Drosophila melanogaster: one gene and its partner. The protein of the gene in region 2 interacts with the protein of the main gene of each other region in a pairwise test. Each region holds a gene or a part of one and is shown on either strand. Other genes may lie near its edges.

Region 1 (3,531 bases), on a different chromosome or scaffold from region 2:
TCCACTTTTAAGAACGGCACGCAACCAGACTGAGGCAACAACAGCCGGCTATTGTTTCTATATTCTCGATTCCATTCCATTGCGACCGAAACGGGGTTATCTGCTCACTGAAAGAGGTTGTAAGAACAAACTTATATACTTGTATAGGGAAATAAAACATTCGATTTGCTGAAGAATAAATTAAAATATTTTTAGCCAGAGAAGCTGGGAACATGAAAAGAAGGAATCTTTAAAAAACTACAAGATAAGAGATTTATGTTTGCGAAACTATGCCATTTATCAGCGTTTTTCTTATCAAAACGAAAGACTAATTTGAATGTTTGCAACACATTTTTTTAAAATACAACTTTAAGAATATCAAAAGATGTATTTATATTAGCGTAATTTCCATTTAATGGTGCCTTCCATTTTTCTGAATTTTAAATGTAATATTATTTATTCATTTTTCACTTTTTATTTTCATTCATATTATTTTCGCAATAAAAAACTTTTAGCTCCTTAAGATATTCGAAATGATAAATCTCAAAGAGCAAGCCACTTAAAAACAATTAATCCCGATCATATAGAGCATTAAACTCCACACATTCCTCATTCCAATATTGGCTTTCTTTTTTGTGCACACATTTTTTGTCTGCTGCCTCTTGTGATTCTGTTATTAATTTATTAATAGTTTTTGCCACCGCGGTGAGCTGCGAAACCCGTTGTCGTTACTCTATTGGCTGGTCATGGGATTTTGTTTATCATGAAAATTCTAAATGGCATGCTCATGTCATTTGCTAATTTTTAATGGCCTTTAAAAGCCAGGCTGCATAGCAAGTTTGCCGCTCACGTCGCTCAGCAAAGACCTTGACTTTCTTTTTAGTAAATGAGACATTTCTCCAACACCGTCTGGCTACAATTAGCCGGCCATAAAAAAACTTTAGGGCTGGAGTTGACAAACTCCAACGTTACAATGCGCATTTTGAAAGCAAAACTGTTTGCTTGTGTGTAGAAAGTCTAACGCTTCGCGTTGACAGTGCGTTTTGTTGACTCACTCAGCCGCCGTTTTGCGAGATTTACAATCTTGAGTAATTTCACTTGCTGGGATGCAAATTTCGGTGCTATTACAGTCACTGGTCAAGCAGAATCAATTGCAGAACGCGGCGGATATCCATTTCAGGCGGCCACAAAGGCTGTCTTTAACAATCTGAACTCCGATATTCTGCTTTTGTTCAAGCCGGAACAATGGCGAATCAATTAAAGCTTGCCGCCTGGCCAGGCAACTTTTGTCTGCCTTCCGCCTGTACATTTATCACTTATGGATCGCGCACTTTGCGCAGACGCAGGTAACTAGTTTTCACCGCAGAGATACAGCCACCGCCATCGCCACCTAAAACACACATTTCAAGGCAATAAAATATGTTTGGCCATGTAATTCTGCAGCGTCTGGAAGTGCACTTCGGCGCGTGTGTCTGCTGCGCGAAATGCATTTCCATTTCCATTTCGTTTTGTTTGACTCGGTCTCTGTTTATTTTGAGTCTCCGTGGGGAATGTTGACCGTGCATGTCATTCGCGTTTAGTTTTGAAAGTTGTTTGCTTCCTGCTGCTGCACGTCGCGTCGTTTTGGCCATTTTAATTAAAAACACATCACCTCCTGAGGCTGCTATGGCAATTTTTATGCAAAGTGCGTTACCCACTGCTTAGCTGCTCGATAAATGCTCGAATGATATTTATTTAGCAAACGTTTCGCTGCAGCGCAAATTTCATACTGATTGTTAAATGTAACAGAGGAAAAAGGCGGCAGCAAAAGGAAATCAATCAATACAAACCCACAAGAGTAGGTACTTCAGCGGCTCTTGGCCCAGTTTGTGCGTTCAAACGAGACCAATGAGTGGCCATTTGCACTTGAAAGTGCATATAATAGGCAACCAAGTGAAAAAGGATGCGAGAGAAAAGGATTGGTAAAGACCATAATAAGGGTTCGAAGATTTTATTGTCAGAGTAATGATTTTGAATTAATATAATTTGCGCGCCCATTTGGTATTTTAATACTGAAAACAGGTCTCGTTTTTTAACTCTGATCTGGCAACGCCAGGCTTGTACACTTTCAAAAGTGCGAAAAAAAACATATGTTCGCTGCATTCTTGTTGAGTTGCATTTTAAATAATCAAATAAATTTGATAAATTGGGAGCTTGTTAATCAAATTAACTCGAAATGGCTAGCACTTCTCGCGCAGCTAGGAGCCAGAATGCCATCCCCTCGCAGGAAGCGCAACAACCCGTCGATGTGGTCGACGCCAAGGTTCGCGCCATTCTAAACTACATCCTTGATCATACCGCCCAGAAGATTCCCATAAAGGACAAGGATTTGATAGCGGTGGCTGGGGACAAGAGCGAACTGAAGAAACGCCTGCCGCTGGTCACTAATCTGCTGGCCGAAACATTCGGTATAATACTAACCCCACTGGACGCGACCACCAAGACGTTCATCTGCACTGCGGAGGAGCCGGTGGCCTCCATTCACGAGCTGACGCCGGCTCAACGGCCGCAGTTCACGCTGCTGTATATTATTCTCATGTACATCTTCCTGCGCGGCAACCGCATCGAGGACTCGAAACTGTACGTTATGCTGGAGATGCTCAACATCTATCCAGACGAAGAACATGGCTACTTCGGCCCCAATCTGCGCAAACAGATCGAGGAGACGTTTGTGAAGCAACAATATCTGAAGCGGGAACGCTCACAGCTAAGTGCTTACGATGATTCCAAGACTTTCTTCCTTTGGGGACCACGTGCCAAGGCGGAGTTCACATTCGAGCAAATGGTGCAATTCGCCTCCAAGCTGCTCAATCAGCATCCCAAGGTCTTCGGCCATCACCTCTCCATGGCCCAAGAAGGAGTAAACGCGGAGTAGAATACCATTCTATGAATAATTTACTACATTTGATCTAACAAATTGAAAACCAAACAATATATATAATAATCTAAAATAGAGCCAATTTCCCATTTATCAGCAAGAAAAGAATATTACGATGATCTTTTAAAAATAGCACGTCTTTTCTATTTATCTAAAACTTAAGTTAATTTACTTAACAACGGAAGCAGAGACCCGACTCTAATACTTGGCATAGTCTGTGTCCATTATGAGCTTGCCATCCTTGTCCTTCAAACGAACGCGGCCGTTGGAGTAGCGCGTCTCTTGGCTGCCATCCGGATACACTAGCTTCACAGTGCCGTCCGGATACTCCCTTCGCTTGTTTAGTTTGGTGTGAATCTCCTTTTGGCCATTGGGCAGATTGAGAATCTTGTCACCATTCCGGAGCTGCACTAGATGGGTTCCATCCGCATAACGCCACTCCTCCAGTTTCTCCGTATCGCTGGGATCCACAATCTTAATGCTGTTGTTGGGAAAGTGAATCTCAACAGTGCCATCCTTGCGGCGATGTTCCGTCTGCCCGTTGGGAAACTCGAGTATTTCCAAGCCATCTAGGTAGGAGGTGTGCCAAGTGTTGGTCTCAGCGTAGTAATACTTCACTGTGCCTTCCCTGATGT
Region 2 (4,329 bases):
GACGAATAGCGAAAGATTCTTCTATTAGACCCACTAGTTCAGTAAGAGATATCTGATAGTCGAGAAACTCGAAAATGGCACTGTTGTTTTTGAAATGTGCAAACGATAGTGTGGCAAAAGTATCGTTTGGGCGGTGATAGTGCAATCGATGAATGTGCAGCTTTAATTTAAGCTTGTGAGTCTTGGCAACTCTAGAAACACATCGATTAACGTAGCTGAAAATTGTTTTATGTTTAATTAAATACAGGCGAATAGCTCAAGATCTTTTTGGTGTTATGAGCGTTCAAAAGTCACTACCGTTTCCCACTTAATACTTTGTTAACTGTTAAGTTCGTGCAGCAGTTCCCCAATTCTTGCAGAGGAAACAAATTTACGAGTGCTTCGGTGTTGTTGGACACACACTCACTTTTCATCGGTGGAAAATCAAATTTGGGACCAGGCGCAGAAGATTCGTCAGGATGACGACCAAGCACATCTATTCCACGACCAATTTATCAGATCTGCAATTAAAGGAGCAGGGAAACTGCTTGTTTGCAGCCCGAAAATATGACGACGCAATAAATTGCTACTCAAAGGCCATCGTAGGTGTCTCACATATTTTTGTTATTGTGATGTGTATTTTGTTGTTTACATGTGCACTATGCTCCATATAATATGTAGATAAAGAACCCCACAAACGCCACATACTTCACAAACCGAGCCCTCTGCAACCTGAAACTGAAGAGATGGGAACTGTGCTGCCAGGATAGTCGGCGCGCCCTCGACATCGATGGGAATCTGTTGAAGGGTCACTTCTTCCTGGGCCAAGGACTCATGGAAATCGACAACTTTGACGAGGCTATAAAGCACCTTCAACGGGGTTAGATAATACCTGACCTTTGATGTTCTCTACACTAACTAACCATATATGAAACTTATAGCATACGATCTGTCCAAGGAGCAGAAGCAAAACTTTGGGGATGATATTACACTACAGTTGCGACTAGCTCGCAAAAAGCGCTGGAATGTTATGGAGGAGAAGCGAATACAGCAGGAAATCGAGCTGCAAAGCTATTTAAATGGGTAAGATGTTATTCGAATTCTCTAGATGCCTTTTGCAAACTAAATTTAGTCACCGCACGACGATATCGAGGCAATTGTTGTCCTCATGTGATAGAATATATATTAAAAAAAGCGAAATTTGTGCAAAACCTAAATATTTATGTTTCAGTCTAATAAAAGGGGACATGGAAAGCCGTTTGGCCAATTTAAAGCTGAATGGAAATGTACACGATGAGCAGCTGAAAGACAAGCAACAGGAAATTGAGCAAGAATGCGTAAGTTGGACTTTAACCAGAATATTTAGCGGAGTTGACAATCTAATTTTACTTTTTAGGATGACCATATTAAGGAACTTAACAATATATTTTCTAAGGTTGACGAACGTCGAAAGGTAAGAAACTAAAGGAAAAATAACCAATATTAAAAATATTGTTCTAATATTGTTATTTACATATTACAGAAACGTGAAGTTCCCGATTTTCTATGTGGCAAAATAAGTTTTGAAATATTAACAGACCCTGTGATAACTCCATCTGGAATTACGTATGAACGAAAAGATATAGAAGAACACTTGCAGCGGGTTGGACATTTCGATCCTGTGACACGCGTTAAGCTCACTCAGGATCAACTAATACCAAATTTTTCAATGAAGGAAGTGGTTGACTCTTTTATTGCCGAGAATGAATGGTCTTTAGATTATTAAGTTACTTATTAGTTGGCATTGTCATTGTAATTGATTAGATGTTAGAACCCAGTTCCCATTGTCTAAAAACCAGATAAGTGATAATAAATGTGGATCTGCAATTGAGATTTATATTGTAAATGGATAAATTGTAATTATTAATAAATTAAACAGCATAATGTTCAAAATATAAATAAAAAAGCTTTTGCACGATATCGATAGAGAGTTAGCGGTAGTGTGAAAACAATATAGTTTCGATCACCCGTTCCAGTTAGTCAAAAAGTTGGTGATATCTTGACCAAACAAATTATCGATATACAGCTGCTTACAGATTTGCAGAAATCATTTTCAAAGAAATTTGTTTATGTGAATTCACAATTGGATTAACTTCGCTCTTCTTTGTTTAGTATTTATTTAACAATAATATGGATTCGTCTGAAAGCCAATCGCAAATGGATGACCAAGATGCTCGCATACTGCGTCTGCAAAATCTGATCGAAAAGAATATTGAGATAGGTAAGTTAAATCATAAATTACTAATATCTGAAATAACTATATGAATTGCAGAGCAACAAATCGAAAACAACACCATCGGAGAGTCTATCACGGCCATAGAGGAAATCATTCAGACAGCCAACGATATCAGCAAGGGACATGAAGACCGCCGTACAAACTCCACGGAACTTGTCCTGGACACGGAGCTACTGCGTCGCAATTTCGAAGTTGTGGGAAAAGCTATCCAACATAACACCAACGTCACGGATCGAATGGTGGCCACGGCGATCGTAGGTGCACTGTGTACTTTATTTATGCCTGATCGTAATGTTTGATCCTATTACAGAACGATTTGGTTTTCAAAGAGAGCGAAGAAGATTGGGATGCTCTTTGTTCATTGGCTATTCAGTTCGGAAGACCACTCTTCACCAATGATAGCATGCTGCCCTTCATAGATGTTACTCCAAAGGTGGTGGTTCAAAAGCAACGTGCTCCTCGCAAAACGAAATCTCAAGTAAGTCATTTGTTAAACAATTTCTCACAGTAATATTTGTTCATATTATTATGGATCTTGTAGGTAGATGAGAAGCGTCCAGAAAAGAGTGACCAATTGGAACGCAAGGACGAAGGAGCAGCGTCCGTAACCCACATGCTGAAGCAAATAAGACAAATATATCGAGATGGCAATCAAGAGCCGATTCCGTACTTTAAACTGATTTGCAATCCAAACAATTTTATGGACACCGTTCAGAACGCTTTGCAACTGTCGTTTCTTGTCAAGGAGAACTATATTTCCATCGAAAATGGCGAGGATGGTTTGCCATTGGTTCGCGTTGTGAATTCCAAATCGGTCGAAGGAAACGCACCGTCCCAGGCTATTTGTTCCATCGATGTTACCTTTTGTGAGGTTCGTATTTCAATTATTGTTTAAAGCATTATAATTGATATGATTTAAATTACAGAAAATGGTAAAGCACTACAACCTACATGAGCCAATGTTAAAAAGACTTCCGGTTAGTGAGAAATAGATATATCACTTAGTTCATATTAATAGTTTATATTGTTATTAATAAAACACATAGAACGTTTAAAGTTACTCATGTACGGCATAAATAATCGGGTAATTGAAAGTGTTCTTTCCCCCAAACATTAAGTAATTAACGTAATATCAACACAAAATCATTAAATGAATTTTATTACTCAAGCAGTTACTTCATAGTTCAAACACTTCCCCCAATATTTTACTACGAATCCGCCCCTGCCATTATGTCAATTTTTATGACCGCCTACAAATTGTGAAATATGTAGAAGGGGCACTTGTGAAGTTATAGCAATATAAAATGTATGTATGTTATATTTAGGAACTAAATATTAGTTAAGTTGTTTACTTATAACTTTAACCAGTTTCGGATTATGTTCTTAATCCGTTTTTCCTGGTCTCAATGGGTGGCATACCAAGAATTAAACAAATAAATTACTTTGCAGAGTGGAATAATGAATGAATGAATGATTGGTCCATTAATTAAAAAATCACTCCTGTGCTCGAAATTAGTGCACTTTCCGTTGCACAGCGGCTTTTAATTGAATTCCGTTAACTTAATTCCACAAAGAGAAATTAAGATTAATTAAGATTTATTGCACAATGAAGCTTAGGGTTAATTGCATCTTTGCGGTCGACGGAGTTTAAAAGGCTTTCTATGGAGTATAGCCTTTTCTAAGAGATCAGTGCTTCTATTCAAACTGGATGTAGTAGATCAAGTTACTCGATGCACTATTGTCTGAGATTTTGGGGCTTTCAACTTCATGTGGGCGAAGAGAGTTGACCCAAGTGCAGGAAACTAAGCTAATGTGTAATTATATATAAAACCAAAATGAAGATTTATTGCTCCATATCAGCATAGCAACAAACGACCCAATTAATAGCCACCCAATCTTCAAAATACAAAATTAATGATGCACAAGCGCAGTTTCAATAAGTTGCCAAGTTGGGTTTGTCTTAGTAAATTCCATTGAAGAATTCTACTTCTATGAAAAACTTAGTAAATGCATTATGCTACTATGAGTTTGAGCAAAGAGAAAATAGTTTTTTTTTAACTGGAAAATTATTGAAA

What was found.
Region 1: the proteins of Nse4 (region 2) and MAGE interact in a two-hybrid assay, tested with the Drosophila melanogaster proteins (2 studies listed by BioGRID).

What each region holds. Positions count from the first base shown.
Region 1 is NT_033777.3:7,153,728-7,157,258, reverse strand, and holds MAGE (MAGE), read left to right. Parts: upstream 1-2,078; 5' UTR 2,079-2,194; coding exon 2,195-2,893; 3' UTR 2,894-3,021; downstream 3,022-3,531. Other genes in the region: Sas-4 (spindle assembly abnormal 4), read right to left, coding at 3,095-3,531.
Region 2 is NT_033779.5:10,437,381-10,441,709, forward strand, and holds Nse4 (Non-SMC element 4), read left to right. Parts: upstream 1-2,059; 5' UTR 2,060-2,148; coding exon 2,149-2,239; intron 2,240-2,290; coding exon 2,291-2,508; intron 2,509-2,564; coding exon 2,565-2,732; intron 2,733-2,795; coding exon 2,796-3,125; intron 3,126-3,180; coding exon 3,181-3,246; 3' UTR 3,247-3,667; downstream 3,668-4,329. Other genes in the region: STUB1 (STIP1 homology and U-box containing protein 1), read left to right, coding at 459-581, 661-859, 921-1,062, 1,211-1,316, 1,376-1,432, 1,502-1,744.